Linked DNA regions of Caenorhabditis elegans. The protein of the gene in region 1 purifies or fractionates together with the protein of each later gene. This does not show direct contact. Each region holds a gene or a part of one and is shown in the gene's direction. Other genes may lie near its edges.

Evidence for each region.
Region 2: the proteins of reps-1 (region 1) and vet-1 purify together in Caenorhabditis elegans (affinity purification with western blotting, with the first as the bait; one study listed by BioGRID). This does not show direct contact.
Region 3: the proteins of reps-1 (region 1) and flh-1 purify together in Caenorhabditis elegans (affinity purification with western blotting, with the first as the bait; one study listed by BioGRID). This does not show direct contact.

Annotation. Positions count from the first base shown.
Region 1 is NC_003283.11:18,984,879-18,993,018, reverse strand, and holds reps-1 (REPS (RalBP1-associated Eps domain-containing protein) homolog), read left to right. Parts: upstream 1-2,518; 5' UTR 2,519-2,650; coding exon 2,651-2,756; intron 2,757-3,689; coding exon 3,690-4,105; intron 4,106-4,205; coding exon 4,206-4,317; intron 4,318-5,186; coding exon 5,187-5,405; intron 5,406-5,532; coding exon 5,533-5,591; intron 5,592-6,034; coding exon 6,035-6,355; 3' UTR 6,356-7,045; downstream 7,046-8,140. Other genes in the region: Y39B6A.37 (Structural protein), read right to left, coding at 1,614-2,161; mrps-35 (Small ribosomal subunit protein mS35 mitochondrial conserved domain-containing protein), read right to left, coding at 7,404-7,646.
Region 2 is NC_003279.8:6,199,466-6,204,171, reverse strand, and holds vet-1 (Very Early Transcript), read left to right. Parts: upstream 1-2,095; 5' UTR 2,096-2,105; coding exon 2,106-2,212; intron 2,213-2,297; coding exon 2,298-3,147; 3' UTR 3,148-3,374; downstream 3,375-4,706. Other genes in the region: T05E7.1 (BAAT_C domain-containing protein), read right to left, coding at 61-158; col-55 (Collagen triple helix repeat protein), read right to left, coding at 3,979-4,419, 4,476-4,499.
Region 3 is NC_003282.8:9,260,809-9,266,647, reverse strand, and holds flh-1 (FLYWCH transcription factor 1), read left to right. Parts: upstream 1-2,384; 5' UTR 2,385-2,416; coding exon 2,417-2,433; intron 2,434-2,945; coding exon 2,946-3,171; intron 3,172-3,219; coding exon 3,220-3,990; intron 3,991-4,036; coding exon 4,037-4,546; 3' UTR 4,547-4,840; downstream 4,841-5,839. Other genes in the region: Y11D7A.19 (NADH dehydrogenase [ubiquinone] 1 alpha subcomplex subunit 13), read left to right, coding at 301-399, 452-838; col-120 (Nematode cuticle collagen N-terminal domain-containing protein), read left to right, coding at 4,895-4,971, 5,022-5,106, 5,153-5,252, 5,300-5,839. UniProt on the Caenorhabditis elegans protein: Probable transcription factor. Binds to the DNA sequence motif 5'-[AG]GGCGCCG-3' in the promoters of target genes, including micro-RNA genes, in order to repress expression, and acting redundantly with flh-2.

The DNA of each region.
Region 1 (8,140 bases):
TAATTTTGAGCTAAAATTTGGAAATTTCGGTCTAAAATCTTATTTATCAAGCATTTTAGTGTAAATTTCATTCTTTTTTTTCGCACTTCTTAAGCTGAAAACCCCGGATTTTTGTCGGAAAACGGAATTTTTGGAGCAAAATGTCCCGATTGCTAGTGTTTTTTCTGAAATTTATCGATTTTTCGTATATTTTTGAGCTCAAATTTCAATGAGAAAATGTCTTTTTAAGATCTTTTTATGGGATTTCATAGATTTCAGTGCGAAAATTGCAATTTTTGAGGAGAAAATTGGAGATTTTCAGTTTTCGGCGATACTTTTCAGAAAAAAAAACTGATTTTTCCCTTGAGCAGCGCCCAAAAGTTGTAGTTTGTAGTTTAGCAGCGCCCAAAATTGAATTAGCAGCGCCCAAAACTTGTAGTTTGTAGTGTTAGCAGCGCCCAAAACTTGTAGTTTGTAGTTTAGCAGCGCCCAAAACTTGTAGTTTGTAGTCTAAGCAGCGCCCAAAATTGAATTAGCAGCGCCCAAAACTTGTAGTTTGTAGTCTAAGCAGCGCCCAAAATTGAATTAGCAGCGCCCAAAACTTGTAGTTTGTAGTCTAAGCAGCGCCCAAAATTGAATTAGCAGCGCCCAAAAGTTGTAGTTTGTAGTGTTAGCAGCGCCCAAAACTTGTAGTTTGTAGTCTAAGCAGCGCCCAAAATTGAATTAGCAGCGCCCAAAACTTGTAGTTTGTAGTCTAAGCAGCGCCCAAAAGTTGTAGTTTGTAGTTTAGCAGCGCCCAAAATTTGTAGTTTGTAGTGTTAGCAGCGCCCAAAACTTGTAATTTGTAGTCTAAGCAGCGCCCAAAACTTGTAGTTTGTAGTCTAAGCAGCGCCCAAAATTGAATTAGCAGCGCCCAAAAGTTGTAGTTTGTAGTTTAGCAGCGCCCAAAATTGAATTAGCAGCGCCCAAAAGTTGTAGTTTGTAGTGTTAGCAGCGCCCAAAACTTGTAGTTTGTAGTTTAGCAGCGCGTAAAATTGAATTAGCAGCGCCCAAAAGTTGTAGTTTGTAGTTTAGCAGCGCCCAAAATTGAATTAGCAGCGCCCAAAAGTTGTAGTTTGTAGTGTTAGCAGCGCCCAAAACTTGTAGTTTGTAGTTTAGCAGCGCGTAAAATTGAATTAGCAGCGCCCAAAAGTTGTAGTTTGTAGTTTAGCAGCGCCCAAAACTTGTAGTTTGTAGTCTAAGCAGCGCCCAAAATTGAATTAGCAGCGCCCAAAACTTGTAGTTTGTAGTCTAAGCAGCGCCCAAAATTTGTAGTTTGTAGTGTTAGCAGCGCCCAAAACTTGTAGTTTGTAGTCTAAGCAGCGCCCAAAACTTGTAGTTTGTATTCTAAGCAGCGCCCAAAATTGAATTAGCAGCGCCCAAAACTTGTAGTTTGTAGTTTAGCAGCGCCCAAAATCACATTTTCGCTCAAAATTAACCAAAATTGCCGGTTTTTTCGCATTTTTCGACGGAATTTTCTGTTTAATTCGTTAAAATTTGGGAATTTTTATGATTTTTCAGCGGAAATCGCTTGAGCAGCGCCCAAAACTTGTAGTTTGTAGTTTCCACGTGGGGCTCAATTCCTCGAAACTTACACAAATTCGCCAGTTTTGAAGCTTTTCGTGTCATTTTTATCGTGAAATTCGACATTTGTGGGTTTCAGCGCCTTATCAACATAAAATTCACTGTCCAATCCATACAAAAGCTGTCCTTTATCACTAATATCATCACTTTCTCGCCGTTCCAGCAGCTCTTGCGGTGCTTCATCATCATCATCATCAGTCGGTGGATCCGAATCGAATCCGCTGCTTTCCCCGCCGCCGGCTTCTCGATTTTCAGCCGGCGGTAGATCACCGGATTCACTGCTCGCCGAGCTGTCTGGAGCCCCCCCGGCGGCCGAAATTCCGACGCCATTGTACTCGACGCCATATCCAACGTACCAGCCGTCTTCTAAATTCGAATTATCAATCGAAAAAGTGTCGATTTGAAGGATTTCGCAGGGTTTTGTGGATTTTTGAGCATTTTCGTGCTGTTCCATCGTTAATCCTTGCTTCCCGAGCGCATTTTTCAGCGTTTTCAGCTCTCTTTTTGTGAGATTTCGGGCTTTTTCAGGAATCTGCGGGATTTCGGACGATTGGGGCATCAGAACCTGGAAAAAATAATTGTTATGCTGTTAAAATCGAATTTTGGGGCAAAAAAAACCTTAAAAATACGATTTTCCGGCTGAATTTCATTATTTTTCGCAAAAATTTCAGATTTAGCTCGAAAATCGGTTGAATCTTGCCGATATTTGATAGTTTTCACCCGTAAAAACCCCGAAATCCATGAAAAACCACTTTAAAACTGAAAAACAAATTATACAACTAGGAAATGGATATTTTTCAGCGTTTTAGGTGTATGAATAGGAGATTTTAACGCTTTTTTAATTAATTTTTGCTTTAAAAAACTGATTTTTACCCAAAAAATCTGTGAAAATTGAGTTTTTCAGCTGAAACATCGTTTCAAAACGAAAAAATAAATTTGCCGGCACGAGAATCGCGCCAGTCAACCCCCTTTGCGCATCTCCAGTGCGCTGGCGCATTTCTCGTGCACCAACTATTTTATTTGCTTTTCCGCGAAAAAATCAATTTCCATGACAGAAAACGACAAAAAATCGCAATATTTTTCGAATGGAGACTTTGAAAAAGTCGCTGCCGATATTATTAGTAGTCCGAGACGTCTGAAGCACACGAGTCCAGGTGATTATTTTGAAAAATAAAGAATTTCAGCTCGAAATCGGCAAATTTGATGCAAAAACGTGGAAATTAAGCTGAAAAACGGTGAAAAATCCAGAAAAATTAGGAAAAAGTGCAAAATTATCCTCAAAAATGAGTAGTTTTAATGAAAATATAACCTTTTTCGATTTTTCTCAAATTTTTTCGCATTTTTGAAGAGATTTCCGCTATAAAACAGATGAAACTAATTTAAAAAAACCACTTTTGAAGGTTTTTGAGTGAATTTTTTGGGCGCTGCTTAGACTACAAACTACACAATTTTAGGCGCTGCTAATTCAATTTTGGGCGCTGCTAAACTACAAACTACAAGATATTGGTCGCTGCTAAACTACAAACTACACAATTTTGGGCGCTGCTAAACTACAAACTACAAGATTTTGGGCGCTGCTAAACTACAAACTACACAATTTTGGGCGCTGCTAAAGCTACAAACTACACAATTTTGGGCGCTGCTAAACTACAAACTACAAGATATTGGTCGCTGCTAAACTACAAACTACACAATTTTGGGCGCTGCTAAACTACAAACTACACAATTTTGGGCGCTGCTAAACTACAAACTACACAATTTTGGGCGCTGCTAAACTACAAACTACACAATTTTGGGCGCTGCTAAACTACAAACTACAAGTTTGGGCGCTGCTAATTCAATTTTGGGCGCTGCTAAACTACAAACTACAAGATTTTGGGCGCTGCTAAAGCTACAAACTACACAATTTTGGGCGCTGCTAAAGCTACAAACTACACAATTTTGGACGCTGCTTTTCCGTTTAGCGGCGCCAAAATCGATTTTTTCTATTTTTAAGCACATTTTCTCAGGGAAAATTGCAAAAATCGAAATTATTTCGGTTTTAAAGCTAAAAAACTCGAAAAAATCCAAATTTCCCCAATTTTCAGCCGATTCCAACGCGGATTCTCTCTTCAAAATCACTGAAAAACAGCAGGAATACTACACAAAATGCTTCCGTCACTTAATAAAAACCACTCAAGGCGCCGCAGACCTCTGCGGAGCCCTTTGCGGAGCCGATCAACGAATTGTAGCGTTTTTCAAGAGAAGCTCGCTGGATATGAGCTCTTTATCGAAAATCTGGTCGCTGGCCGATGTGAATGAAGACGGATGGTTGGATTTAAACGAATTCTCGATTGCGATGCATTTAGTAGTGTTGAAAGTGAAAGGAGAAGTTCCGATTCCTGATGTGCTACCCGGTTTCGCGCGGCCACCACTTACAGAGCCACGGGCTCCGTCTACAGTTGCGGCGACGCCTAGTCCCGCCGGTGCAGGACATGTAGAAGCTGATGGGCCAGTGAAAAATGTGGGGGTTTTTGAAATAATTTAATTGACTTTTGAATATGTATCATCATTCAAAACATTAACGACGTTTTTTTTTTAATTTCGAATTTTTCCAATTCCAGTGGGCAAACCAGCCAATCATCAAACAATTCTCGGATACACCGCCATTATTAGTGGACAGTAGGCCAACAGCTATCAAGCATTCTGCATTGTTAGCACTTAAGAGTCCACTGGGTAAGTTTGGATTCATTGAAGAAATTGTTGTAGTGTTTATTATACTTCTCAAATGTGTGAACACAATATAAAAAGTTTAAATTATTGACTAATAATAATTTATTCGAAAAATTGCTAGTTGAATAGCAGTCATACTACAAAAACTACAATAGTTTTCGATTCAAATGTTTTAGAAAACCTAGTTTTCTAATCAGTAACATAGTTATTTATATACTGACTAAGTAACTAATTATTTAATTAATAACTATTTAAGTACGTTTTTAATTCGTGACTTAGTTAGTAATTAAAATACTTACTGAGTTGCTAATTATATAACTTGGTAAGTAGTTAATTAGAAACTTAGTTATGAAATTACTAACTCAATACGAATTTAATTACTAACTTAGTGAGTATTTAATTAGTAACATAGTTATTTAATTTATAACTCAGGAAGTATTTAATTAGTGACTTAGTTAGTAATTAAATAACTAAGTAAGTATTTAATTACTAACCCTGTTAGTGTTAATTAGTAACAAAGTGAGTATTTAATCAGTAACGTAGTTATTTAATTTGTAACTAAGGAAGTATTAAATTGCTACTAAGTGAGTATTTAATTACTAACTAAGTGGGTATTTAATTAGTAACAGAGTGAGTTTTTAACTACTAATTTTCTTATTTAATCATCATCTAAATAAGTACTTAATTAGTAACTTAGTAATTAAATTACTAACTACGTAAGTATGTAGTTAGTAACTTAGTTATTTAATTACCTAAATAAGTATTAATAAGTATTAAGTATTAAGTAAGTTCATTAAAACACGCAACACTCAATATTTAGTAGTATTTGCAATCTAAGAGCAGCGCCCGAAATCAATAATCCATATTTTCAGGACCCCCACCAATTCCACCTGTCCGCCCACAACAACAACAACGTGGACACAACAGAAGTGCAAGTCTTGACTTGAAATTGATTGCATTGAATAAGACAAAAGCCTCGGCGGAATCCCAGCTACCACCAACTACCCTATCACTTTGGTCATCACATTCCGATCCGACAGCTCAATCGATTAGTACTACAACGACTACGACTACTTTTGCGTCTTTTCCTGGTATGAGACTGAAAAATTGGGCAGAAATTCGAAAAAAATTTTAAAAAAACTGGAATTTTTCAAAAAATATATTGCTTTCAATTTTCGAGAAAAAATCAAAATATTCCCAATTTCCGCAAATTTTCAGCCACCCCGGACAGTATTCCACCGCCGATTCCACAAAGAATCACACCGTCACCTCTACCGGTAAGTTAAGGGAAAGCTTTTAGTTGTAGTTTGTAGTCTTAGCAGCGCCCAAAGTTTGAAATTATTCGTTTTAACGAATTTTTAAGAAAAACTTTTCAAAATTGCGATAAAATCGAAAATTAGTGTAGTTTTTATTTTCTGAACAGGTTGAAAATCACAAAAATATGATTTTTAAACAATTTTTGGCTATTTTTTTGTGCGCTGCTATTTTTTTGGGCGCTGCTAATTTTTGGGCGCTGCTATTTTTTTGGGCGCTGCTAATTTCTTGGGCGCTGCTAATTTCTTGGGCGCTGCTAATTTCTTGGGCGGGCTGCTAAAAATTTACTTGTAGTTTGTAGTTTTAGCAGCGCCAAAATTCAAAAATACTCATTTTTAACCATTTTTCTTCAAATTTTTCAAATTTTTCACTGAAAAATCTCCAAAAATTCACAATATTTTTGCAGAGAGTCATCGAAGAGGAAAAACGAATTACCACAACAGATTCATCAACACAAACTACAGAATTACTCTATTCTGAGGAAGATGTGAAGAGCTTTTTCTCGAAAATCGGCCATCAAATCGACGATTTAATTGGAGAAGAGATTCAGGCAACTGATGGGCAAGGAATTGAACGATGGAAGGAACGTTGTACAGCTTTGAGGACTCAAAATTCGGAATTAGAAGCCGAAAGAGCACGGTTGGCTCAAGTACGGATTCAATTGGAAATACGAATTCAGGAATTTGAAGAGAGATCCAAAACTGCGTGCTCTTCTTCTACACTTTAATGATATCCCCGGTGGAGGAAAAATGGATGGGAAATTCGAATTTTTGAGGAAAAATAGGAAAAAAATAATTTTTTTCGGCTTGAAAAACTAGGAAATAACACATTTTATTTCGAATTTTCCGGAAAAAATTTTTTTTTTGGAAAAAACTCAATTTTTAGCTGGAAAAATAGAATTTTTAAAGATTTATTACGTTTGGTTAGGAAAATAACAAAAAAATTCGAAATGTATCAATTTCTATGGAAAATTATTTTTTCTGAAAATTTATTGATTTTTCTGAAAATTTATTGATTTTTCTGAAAATTTATCGATTTTTCTGAAAATTTATTGATTTTTCTGAAAATTTATCGATTTTTCTGAAAATTTATCGATTTCTATGGAAAATTTATTGATTTTTCTGGTTTTTCGCATTAAAAAACATGAAATTTGCCCATTTTAGAGCAAATTTTCAAAAATTTCTGAGAAAAAGGTATTTCCCGAAATTAAATTTAACTTCTAAAAAAGTTTTTAATTATTTTCTATCAAAAATTCGAATTTCCCACCAATTTCTCCCCCAGATTCCCCGCAAAAAACTAAAAAATCTGCATATTTCTTCATAATTTCTGTGATATGTCATATATATATTTCATTTTTACCTATGTTGTAATTTTTTAAAATAAGCATCAATTTTTCTATTTTCTGTGATAATTTAATCTATTACACTATCTTCTTTTTTTTTTTTGAAAAAAAAAATCATAAAGTATGTATTGATTTTTACACACATTAAAAATAACTATTTTTTAAAATTGGAAAATATATATATATAAATTTTTCCAAAAAAAAATGAAATAACATGAAAGATGGGAACTATCTAAAAAATTCGGACAAAAAAATTATTACAGATCCGGCTAAAAATTTGGAAAAAATTCCAAATTTTGACAGAATTTGAGGGATCTATTATAAAAACTGCTAGAATAACAAAAAAAAAACAAAAAATTTTCGAGAAAAAAAATTATTACACATTCGTGACGAATGTATAATAATCTTAGCAGAACTAAAAAAAAACAGTAAATTATTGTTGAATTCCGAGTAATTTCTTCATCTGACGACCGTATTCCCGCGTTTTTTCGACAGTTTCCTCGCTATTTCTATAGGCTTTCCACATTTCTCCGAATTCGTCAATCGATTTTTGATCTCCACATCCGGCGGCGCTGGGGCTTAATCCAGGCGTCAACTTGGCTTTTTCCAGTAAATCGATGAGTTTGGTTTTGGTGTTGGAGCCATCGAATTCAACTTTCAGAGCGTCGGTGCGGTTCTGGAAAAAAACATTGGAAATTTGGCTGAAAAATCGATAAATTTCCGGAAAAATCAATAAATTTCCAGAAAAATCAATAAATTTTTACAAAAAGCACTGAATTTTCAATAAAAATCAATAAATTTCCAGAAAAATCGATAAATTTTTACAAAAATCACTGAATTTTCAATAAAAATCAATAAATTTCCAGAAAAATCAATAAATTTCCAGAAAAATCGATAAATTTTTAGAAAAATCAATAAATTTCCAGAAAAATCAATAAATTTTTACAAAAAGCACTGAATTTTCAATAAAAATCAATAAATTTCCAGAAAAATCGATAAATTTTTAGAAAAATCAATAAATTTCCAGAAAAATCAATAAATAAATTCTTACAAAAATCACTGAATTTTCAATAAAAATCAATAAATTTCCAGTAAAATCGATAAATTTTTACAAAAAGCACTGAATTTTCAGAAAAATCGATAAATTTCCAGAAAAATCGATAAATTTTT
Region 2 (4,706 bases), on another chromosome or scaffold:
TCATGATCTTCAAAAACTCAAAGATACAAATGAAGAATAACAAAAAAATTGAGATCTCACCTCAAAATGAATGTATAACAACTCCATTCAACGAGCCCACTTGCACGAATATTAACCTTTTCAGTCTGGAGACTGTCCACTTTATCAACATGAAGCATTTCTTGAAAACCTGAAAATGTAAATAAGCACTTGATTTTCAAAGCAGTTTTTGGAGGTTTCTTTTTATCAATTCGAATTCTGCGATAAGAAATGTTGCATTTTGTTTGGTTTTCCATCTAGTTGATCAGAAAGAGGGAGGAGCTTTTTTTTTAGATAATCAAGTGACTACAAACCGATCAAGTGATTGTTACAATAGACTCTTAAAGTGCATTTCCCGAAAAAAAAATTGAAATTTGTCTAAAACCTGTTATTAAACTTTTTAGATGAATACTGATAGAAGGCAACAAATGCTTGAATAGCTTTAGTAAAGTAGAATATTACAAAGATCTTGCTAATTAAAAAAAATTATATACAAAGATTTGACTCATTATCAATTGTCTGATAGTCAGATTTGCATGCCACATTTTGAAATCATATTCTTTTTATTTCTTAAGAAAGAAAAAAAAATTTAAGAACAACATGCAAGTATTTGTGTGTTGAAAACTAGGGTAAATCAAATGGAAGTGTTGGTAATATTGGCAAATGTCTGAATAACTTCTGTATTTAGGAATTACAACAAATATTGGTGGGATTTCGTTTGTATTTTTGGTTTCAATAGATCAATGAAGCTACTTAAGTGAACGATTTAAAATAATTAAATTTCAGCCGAGTGTCATCGTCAGTCTAGAGTACATTTTATGGATTTTAATTTTCACTTTAAGGATAAAGAGGTGCCACAGTTGACAATAAAACGGATTTAATCTGGATATCAATTCATGTTCGGACGCTGCGACCGCCAAATAAATATATTACGTTTTTAATACTTCAATTCAGTCTTTCCTTTGTCTCTTTTTAAATCCTAGTTTGAAGAGCCCCATACATATAAACTTAACTTCCATTAGCTATTTCATGGTTCTATAAATCTAGGGTACCAGTTTTTGTGACCTTATATTTTGGTACCTTCTCAATCTGCCGTTTCAGGGAGAGGGAGACAATAAGCAGACGATCTCATAGAGCCTTTCTGGATATCGATCCAAATCCAGACGCTGTAATGAACTACCTAACATTCACTCTCATTCATGTTGTTCTCAATTCATTCTTCTCATTTTATCCAGGTCCCATTCGGTACGTTTATTTTTTTGTTCTTATTTTGATTGTTTTAATTTTCTGAGATATCCCAGTTGCAGTCCTAGTAAGTAATTGTGTATTTGTATTAATTCCTTTAAAAAATCTTCAACCGAAGACGAAAAGAGAATAGAGCCCTCTATTTCAGAATACTGACATTTCTAGTGTAAATAAAATAGTGTAAAAAAGTATTACTTTGGTTTTTCATGTACCGGATTTTTCCTGATCGTATTGCACGTATATCTGATTTTAAATAGCTTATATGGCCTTCGAGACTGCTAGATTTTCAATTAAAAACTGGAATAGCATATTTATAGCCAAAATTAATTTTTGAAACTTGAAAGTGATAAAATTTTTTTACATCTTTGAATGTTAACATTTTTTTCTTTCTTAAGGTTTGAGTGGGATGAAAGATTGATAAAACCTGCGAGATTTGTATCGATGGTACTGAATTAACAATAGTGGGAGCTAGATTAATTGGAATTGGAAATTTAGTTTCTTTCAACGTTTACAAAATGCCCATTTTAGTATAGCCATAGATTTGGAGTCAACTACATTCTGAATGACTTCTCTCGATCCAATCAATATATTATGTTCTTCGACAGAAGATCACCATACAATGCAACGCTTTTCCAAAATTGTGAATATCGATCCATATTTGGACGCTGTAAATTCTCACCATCGTTCTCTCTCACTGTTTTTTCGATCCAATTACTCATTCTCACCTAACATTCTCAAAAGGTGCATCTTTCCTTTTTTCATTTATTTATTTGCTCTAGTATTTTCTACTGCAGTTTCACTAAACGTTTCTTTTCAATTAAATATTTTTCAGAACTGAAACTATGTTTGCTGAAAATCCATTCTTCACTCCCACCGAGTCCAAGTTGAAATCGGAGATCGCACTTCTTCAAATGAAATTGGATGACGAACGATTTGATCATCAGAAAACGTAAGTTGTTTGAACTCTAGGACAACGTGCAACCTGTTATATAGATTATATTGTACTAACCCATTCTTAATATGTTCAATTTCAGACGACGAGAGCTTGCCAATTCTCGACTTGAGATCTCTGATCTGAAAGGGGAAGCGAAGTGCCATGATTCGGAACTCAATCGTCTCTACACAATAATCAATAATTTGGAAAAGAAGGTTGAAGATTTGAATGGAGAACATCAAAAGTCATTGGAAAAATTGAAAGAACGTCTTCATGAAAAGGATGCTTTTATCGAGGCTTGTGAAGAATTCTATGATGAGAAGAAGATCAATGTGAACAAAATGACATTGATGAAACAAGAAATGGAATTGAAGAGAATCAAAAAGAACTTTGAAGAATACAAGGAAAGAATGACTGAAGTTGAGAAAAATTTGAACGAATTTATCAAAAGACAATCGGCCATTTGTATGGGAGTGAGATATGAATTGAATATGGAAAAGGATTCGAGAGAGAGATATTTCAAAGAAGCTCAACAATTGAAACAAGAGAAAGATGTATTGGTACATGAAATCAATGAAAGAGAAGTCAGAATTTTGTGTCTGAGAAGTGATATTCTTACATTGAAATCTGAAAACAACGACACCTCTAAGGAACTTGATGAAATGAAAAATGGAACCAAAGCTTTGAAACATGAACTTGAAGAGACCAAGAAAATGAAATCCGAAGCCTTGTCGAAATATGAAGAATCTCAAAAAGAGTTCGAACAGTTCAACTTGAAGTTCCAAAGATTGTGCACAAAGTTCTACGAGGAACGTGTCTCTTCTCAGACAACTTCACCTAAAATGAAAGAACATCTGGCATCTGCTAAGAAACGATTGTCTGCTATCAAGGAAACACTCCAAAATGAAGAAGATTTTGATGAAACCGGAGAAGTAACCAATTATCAATAATTTAATATCACCCAATTACTTTTTCCGTGTTAATTTTTCTTCTTTTAGCTACTATCGCTTTTTTAGCATTTTTTCGATTTGATACTATTGCTTTTACTTTACCATTTCCATTGCACTTTTTCGTTTGTTGTAATACGAAACAATACGGCTTAATTTTTCAACGCCTCGGCATTCTTTCAATCCATCTTAAAATGTTACTCTCTTAATTATTCAATAAATGTTTCATTAAATATCGGAATCACTTTTTAACGTGGATTTTTATAACCAAACAGGTGTACGAAAAGTTTACTATCAATTTTAAATAACAGGCAGAATCAGAGAACTTCACATCGAAACACAACATGAAAAGTAAAACACACGACTAGCGATAAAAACTGTTGGAAAAATCAATCAAATTCAAGAGGAATTTGAAAAGTACGTGCTGAAGGTGGTAGATTAGTGAAAGCTATTACAATATTTCCAACAATTGTGGTTTCATCTTCCATGTTCTTTTTTGAGTGAAATCGAGATGAGTTTTTTGAGAGAGTACTCTAGAATCTGTAAAAGTCGATGATGTAGCGAAAAAGTGCAAATATCATTTTTGCATGAAAAACTAAAACTGATTAGATAAGAAATGACAACAATGGTTAATGATGTTGACCTATGCTCTGCTTGTATACCGTGATTAGTGTCTTTGAAATCAATTCCATAAAATAAAATACGTGAGTGTGAGTTCAAATATACCATTAGAAGACAGTTCAGACCTAGAAAATGTTTTGCAACCAGTTTTGTATATTCTCGAATTAACAATTTTTATGCAAAATGATTTATTTGTAGGAAAACAAAGGGAAGCTAAGCTGAAACCTTGTCAACACGCTTGCGGAAGACCTTGCGATGTTTACGAACTACAACGGAACGAGATGGGCATGGACAATGAGCAGCATCTCCTCCTGGAGATCCAGAGTTTCCTGGCGCTCCTGGAGTTCCTTGTGCACCGGCTTGCCCTGGCTGTCCTGGTGCTCCTGAGGCTCCTGATCCACCAGATTGTACTGGTTGTCCTGGTCCTCCGGCTGGTCCTTGTGGTCTTGGTGCTCCTGGTTGTCCAGAAACTTCAACATGTCCTTGCTCTCCTTGTGCTCCAGGCTGACCTGGTGGTCCTGGTGGTCCAGCTGGGCATCCTTGAGATTGGGATTCACAGTTACATTGTGCTTGACGCGTGTTGGCTCTACGTTTAATTCTTCCAAAGACATCGATTGGTTTCACCATTGAGTTCCATGCCTGTTGTTCGTTGAACTGAAACATTAAAAATATGCAAATGTTTTTCGAAGCTTTGGTTAAAAAAAATATACTTTGAACTCAGTCATAGTATCCATAACCTCATCGTAGAAGGAATTGATATCATTGAAACTATATCCAACAGCGAAAAGACATGCAATAACTGCAACTCCACTGCCTATGCTGACAATTCTAACCAAAAGTGATAAGTGGGGAGATTTTTACACGGCCTTCAAAATTAAAAATATTAGTAAAGGTTTGTAGTAAATAGTTTGGAAAATGTTCCGGGTTCATTATACATAGTT
Region 3 (5,839 bases), on another chromosome or scaffold:
ACCTTTTTTGTTTTTCTTAAGTTCTTATCATATATTAAATTGCCTCATACGGTTTACAAATCTATCGAATATTGAGTTTCTCAGAATGTCAAATCAAAGTACTCCTAGAAGAAGATCACAGAGCATTGTGGACGATGAAGTACGAACAGAACAAGATACAAAGAGTTTAGATGAAACAGTTGAAGAATCACATCATAGTAATCTTCATCCATTTTTCCGAAATTTAATGGTCACGCCCCCAAGAACTGAAAGAGTTCCAAGACCTGTAAGAGATTCTCCAAAAGGAAACGAAGACAATACATGCGGCATGTTCTTAGAAATGATACATCTCAACGTTCCAGTCCATACAGTAATCCTAGAAGACGCTCATGCATAGTTCCACCAATTTTTCCTAGAAAGGTCAGTTTTTGAATTTTAATGAGAACTCTGAGCAACCTTTGTTCTCTTTCAGGATTCTCGCATTCATCAGTACTTTCCATTTGATCCTCCATCTCCTTTGTCATCAGAAGAAAAAACTCCAACACAGTCTCGTCACAATTCACCGTCTCCAACAAGGTCTCCTGTAACAGAACCTAAAGAATATGATCCAATAGTACCTCCAAACAGCCCAAAAAGGGGAATTCCAGAGCACTGGTCACAGCGAGCACAAGATAATATTACAATGGGATTTGGTTTTGCTCAGAGTTGGATGAACACCATAAAACCATCGAGAAATACAGTAGAAGAACGAATAAGACTCCCACAAATATATCATGTTCCAAGAAAAGAATTCGTTTGTTTGGTGGCACTCACATCGGTTGATGAAGCTCTCTTCCACACAATATTAATGTTCCCATGACTTCTGAGGTCTTTTAAAATGCATTTCTTCTCTTCTTCAGATCGAAATTTTGTATACATCTCAGCACCCCATAAACAAAAGTTAATTTTCAAAAAATGTTTGATAGATTTGATTCTGTTGAATATTTTCGGCTGCATACTTTAAGCAACAAGTGGATTTTACACCAAATTGTTAACTGTGAGCCGAAAAGGCTGCATCCCTTTTTTGATAAAGAACCAAAGCCAAACCACGTACGGGCTAGAAGAGGAAGAGATTATGATCGTTTCTGAATTTTCAAATAATATTGTAATGTTATTTTCTTCATATGTGCTAGTAAAATGCTTTTTATGGGATGATGCAAGTGAATTTTTCTACATTTCTCGACAATTTATTTGCAATGCAAGTAAGCAGCATAATGACGCAAAATTCGCCATTTTTTTTACATTTCTCTACATTTCTCGACATTTGAAAAAAACACTCATTTTTCGTCAAAACCACGTCTTTAGTTCACGACTTTACCTTCCCAGACGTTCACGTTTGTTAAAAGTAGTGTAAAATGGGAAAAATAAAAATAATTTGAGAATTTTAAAAGATAGATGCGTGGCCATTCAACGTGGTGTTGCAAAACAGCCAAATTTGAAAAATCAAACTTGATCATTTTTAAATTTTAGAATTCAAAACCACGTTGAATGACCACGCATCTATCTTTTAAAATTCTCAAATTATTTTTATTTTTCCCATTTTACACTACTTTTCACAAACGTGAACGTCTGGGAAGGTAAAGTCATGAACTAAAGACGTGGTTTTGACGAAAAATGAGTGTTTTTTCCCACGTCGAGAAATGTAGAGAAATGTAAATAAATGTAAAAAAATTGCGAATTTCGCGTCATTTCGCTGCTTACTTGCATTGCAAATAAATTGTTGAGAAATGTAGAAAAATTCACTTGCATCATCCCATTAGAGATGAATTCCTATTTGAAACTGCTGCAACTATGTAAAAAATATATATGGTGACTTATTGATATTTCATTTTCCATTTTCACAACCTCGTGGACCACCAAAGCAACATGCAATATTCTATTTTGTTTTTTAGGCCTGTTCAAATAAGTTTCCAGTGATACGCAATTTATCGTAGCCGTTATTGCACAAAAAACGTCAATGAGTGACAGTAGTCCACGCGCATAACTGTTCATCATTTTTCGTTTCATTTGTTTTTTCTCTGGACAGATCTGTGTTTCTCGCAATTTCTTTTCATATTAAATCGTTAAAATAGTAATTTTCAATTTCCAATTATAAGAAAACCGAAAGTTATTCTTATAATCTCTCAAATGCTTAAAAAACCAACCTAAATAAACAGAAGTTCCTTTTGGATTATTTTAAATTATTTTTGCCAAATCTAAAAATAAAACCAAAAATAAATCAAAATATTCTCAACTATGAGACATTTGTTTAAAAATCGTTTTTTTTTTCGCTTTTGTATTTTACAGGCAGTATTTGTTTTTTTACACACGTTGCCATCTTAATCTATTTTATTCGAAATTTTTATAAAATCTAAATTTATTTTCAGGACGGCGTCTTCCAATTATCTAATATCGGAGGATGTATTCGCCAGAATCGTAAGGCTCCTGCTCAATCATAAAAAAACGCTTGCCTCTATTGTTAATCCTACATGTCTCCCTTTTCTCACGTCTAGCGTTCTTCTCTCCCCTCCCAACATCGCCCTATCTACTGTAATCCAACGTCACCATCTGTCCCCGCTGCCTCCATGCCGTCGTCTTTTTTTGCTCCCGTTTGCTGCGATTGCCCTCCCACGAAGGACCTCTTTGGTGTAAACAGTGGAACGGACCCAAGAGTGCGCGTACGCGGTCCGCGAGCGGCTGACCGCGCACGTCATTAGAAGAGACAACAAATGAATCAGAGAGACGCAGAAGAAGGGACCATAATGTCCCGCCCTTTCCCCGTTGGGTTGAGAGACTTAGACCCCCGAACGCTGCTAATGTTACAAATATGTCATTCCAATAGGATTTTGGTCTACCGTCTGGCTGCATAGTTTTTTACTTCCTATTTTAACCTCATCACTCAATTGGTCTTATCTTCCATGTAACTTAGAATAATTTATTAATTTCAGAATGAACTCCAACATATCTTCTCCATCCCCTCCGTCGTCGTCTTCTCTTAATGCTCCAAGTCTTGCGGATGCTCCTGAAGTTAGATCCGATGATGGAGAAGCCGAAACTTCCGAACCATCGACTTCTGTCACAGCTGTACCAATGGAGATTGTGTCCCAAGCATCTACATCTGCTCCTGTTAACCAGTTGCTCGCGAGCGGAATTGATATGTCTAGCGTTATTAAAGTAAGTTTCCTCTATCCAAGATGTTATTTCATTTGATTGTTATTTCAGAACAACGCTGTTTTACAGGCACTTCTTGCCAGTGCCAGTGCCGGTGGATTCGGAGACAACGCAGGCCTCACCATGTCAAAATTATTGACCGCCGCTCTCGCCAATGGATCCACTGCGGTTGCTAAAAGAGATGCAGGTTCTCCACGTACTGATATCCCAAAGAAAACTCGTCTGAAAGTGTTTTCAAACGGATTTTTCATGACATTTGACAAGCTTTCATCATGTCAAAAGAAATATTTCTGGAGATGTGAATACAAGAACACTTGTAAAGCACGAATGCATACGGATATTGTTACTGAAAAGATCCTCACGTTTATCCATGAGCACAATCACAGTGCACCAATAGATGAAGAAGTTAGACTTTATGGATTGGACCCAACGAATATCGAAAGAAATCGTGTCTACATAGTTGGAAATGTTGCTGATCCAAATCAACGAAGAAAGATCCGAAAGCAAGTTGCGGATAGAGAAGCAGCTGCAAAGAGGCTCGTTCAACAGCAAGAAGAAGAACAACAGAAGCAACAAAGTGCATCATCAATTGTGGCGGCTCGAGCAGCTTATGCGCAAGCAATGCAGAATGGCTCAATACCCACATCTTCTGGGGTCGCGTCTTTTCTCCAGTCAACTTCGGCCACTGCTCCAATGACGTCTCATTCAATGCTCCTTGCGCAGATGCCATTTTTAAATAATATTAAAACGGAGATGTCAAATATGGTGAAAAACGAACAATTCACTCCTGAAAGATACACACAGCATATGTCTCCAAACTTGGTATGTCAACTTAGTGTTGAAAGTTTATTCTATAATAATTTTTAAGCCATTGCAGACCGCCACAATTGCTCCACTAATAATTCCAACAGAGAACTACGACTCACCTTCATATAGACAACCAGCAATCAAAAGAAAAGCTACTGATTTGACGAATGAAGAACATGATTTGAGAAGAGATCCGATGTTCCAGCCAACTTTCGAGCTTGCCAGAAAATTGAGAAAACTGTGGAAAGGAGAACCGAACAGATATCCAAGAACTACTACGACTCCGACTCATCATTTTGAATTCTTCCTTTCTAAAAATGATGGAACAGATGAGCATCTCTATGTTCCAATGAGAATCAATCTCCGTGATGAAGCACACTTAAAAGAGGCACTTCAAGACTTCTGTGGTCAACAATGTATCGGAATGCTTCTTTTCGGAATTTCACCAAAGATCAGTGTAATGTTCAATCAACCCATGTTGAATAATTGGGACAATAATCAATTCTTCCTGCTCGACATTTCAAATCCAAGCCGTTGGCGACTGATGTATGTGGATGATCAAGCTGTGTAATTTAACCGAATACTGATTGTTTTTTATATGTGTAAAATGTAAAATTTCCTCCACTCTCCACCTATCTCATTAAATATTTTCTGTGACATTTCTCCATCGAAACTGGTTTTTACCCAATGTAAACCTCATCCTAAGTCTACGATTCAATCTAAATCACATCTACCTCCCTTTTCCAGATGTTTTTTGAACCATTCCACTAATAATGTGTAATGTTATCTTTGACTTGCTATCAATTATCCTTATTTTTTAACGTGTTCTATCCGTTGTAGGATTGTAATAAAACAGTAAAGTGATAAGCGTGAATGATATAAAACACAGTTGAAAATGATTAGGTGATTGGAAGAAGAAATGAATTTGAAGAAGAATTTAGTGAATTCTGAAGAGGATGAACTTCGAAAAGTTGCTTTCGTGGCGACTGTTGTCAGGTATGTTCCGATTTCCACGTGGCAGAATAGTACAAGCTGGAAATTTTCAGTGCTGCTTCTGGAATCATGTGCATTATTCTAATTCCTGGGCTTTACACATATCTACAATATATTCAAAGCTCTGTTCAAACTGATGCAAGTGATTTCTATTCACATTTTGGTATTTATTCTGCATTTTTAGGTTGGATTTTGTGTTGACGGGGCTAAGAATCTGGAAAATATGTATGAATCAACGAAGGCTGTTGGTTCAGGGCCAGTAAAAAGACAAGCTGGATATGGAGGTAACTTGTAACTTTTGTGGGACTTTTTGAAACTAATTCAATATTAGCTTCTTCCCCCTCTCGAGCTTCTGGAAGTCATCCAGCTCCATCTCCATACGACGCTGCATCCACTTCTTCTTCATCTTCTTCCGATTCTTGTTGCAGCTGTGGAATTGGTCTTGCTGGGCCAGCAGGTTTCCCAGGTCGACCAGGACGAGATGGAATAGATGGACCAGCCGGAAAACCTGGACGAGATGGGCAAGATTTGGATGGAGAATCGTCTTCTGATGGATCACAAATTGAGCTTGATTGCCCAGCAGGACCACCAGGGCCACCAGGAAATCCAGGTCCTCAGGGTAATTCTGGGCGACCTGGAATGGATGGTATGCCTGGTAGAAATGGAAGATGCGGGAGACCAGGAGAGCAGGGAGAACGTGGACCAAATGGAGAAGATGGACGACCTGGAAGACGTGGAGACGATGGAATGCCCGGAACAGTTAACGAAATTCCAGGCCAAGCAGGTCCACCAGGTCTTCGTGGTGCTCCTGGAGCTACTGGATCGCAAGGACCACGTGGAAATGATGGTAGACCAGGAAACAAGGGACCAG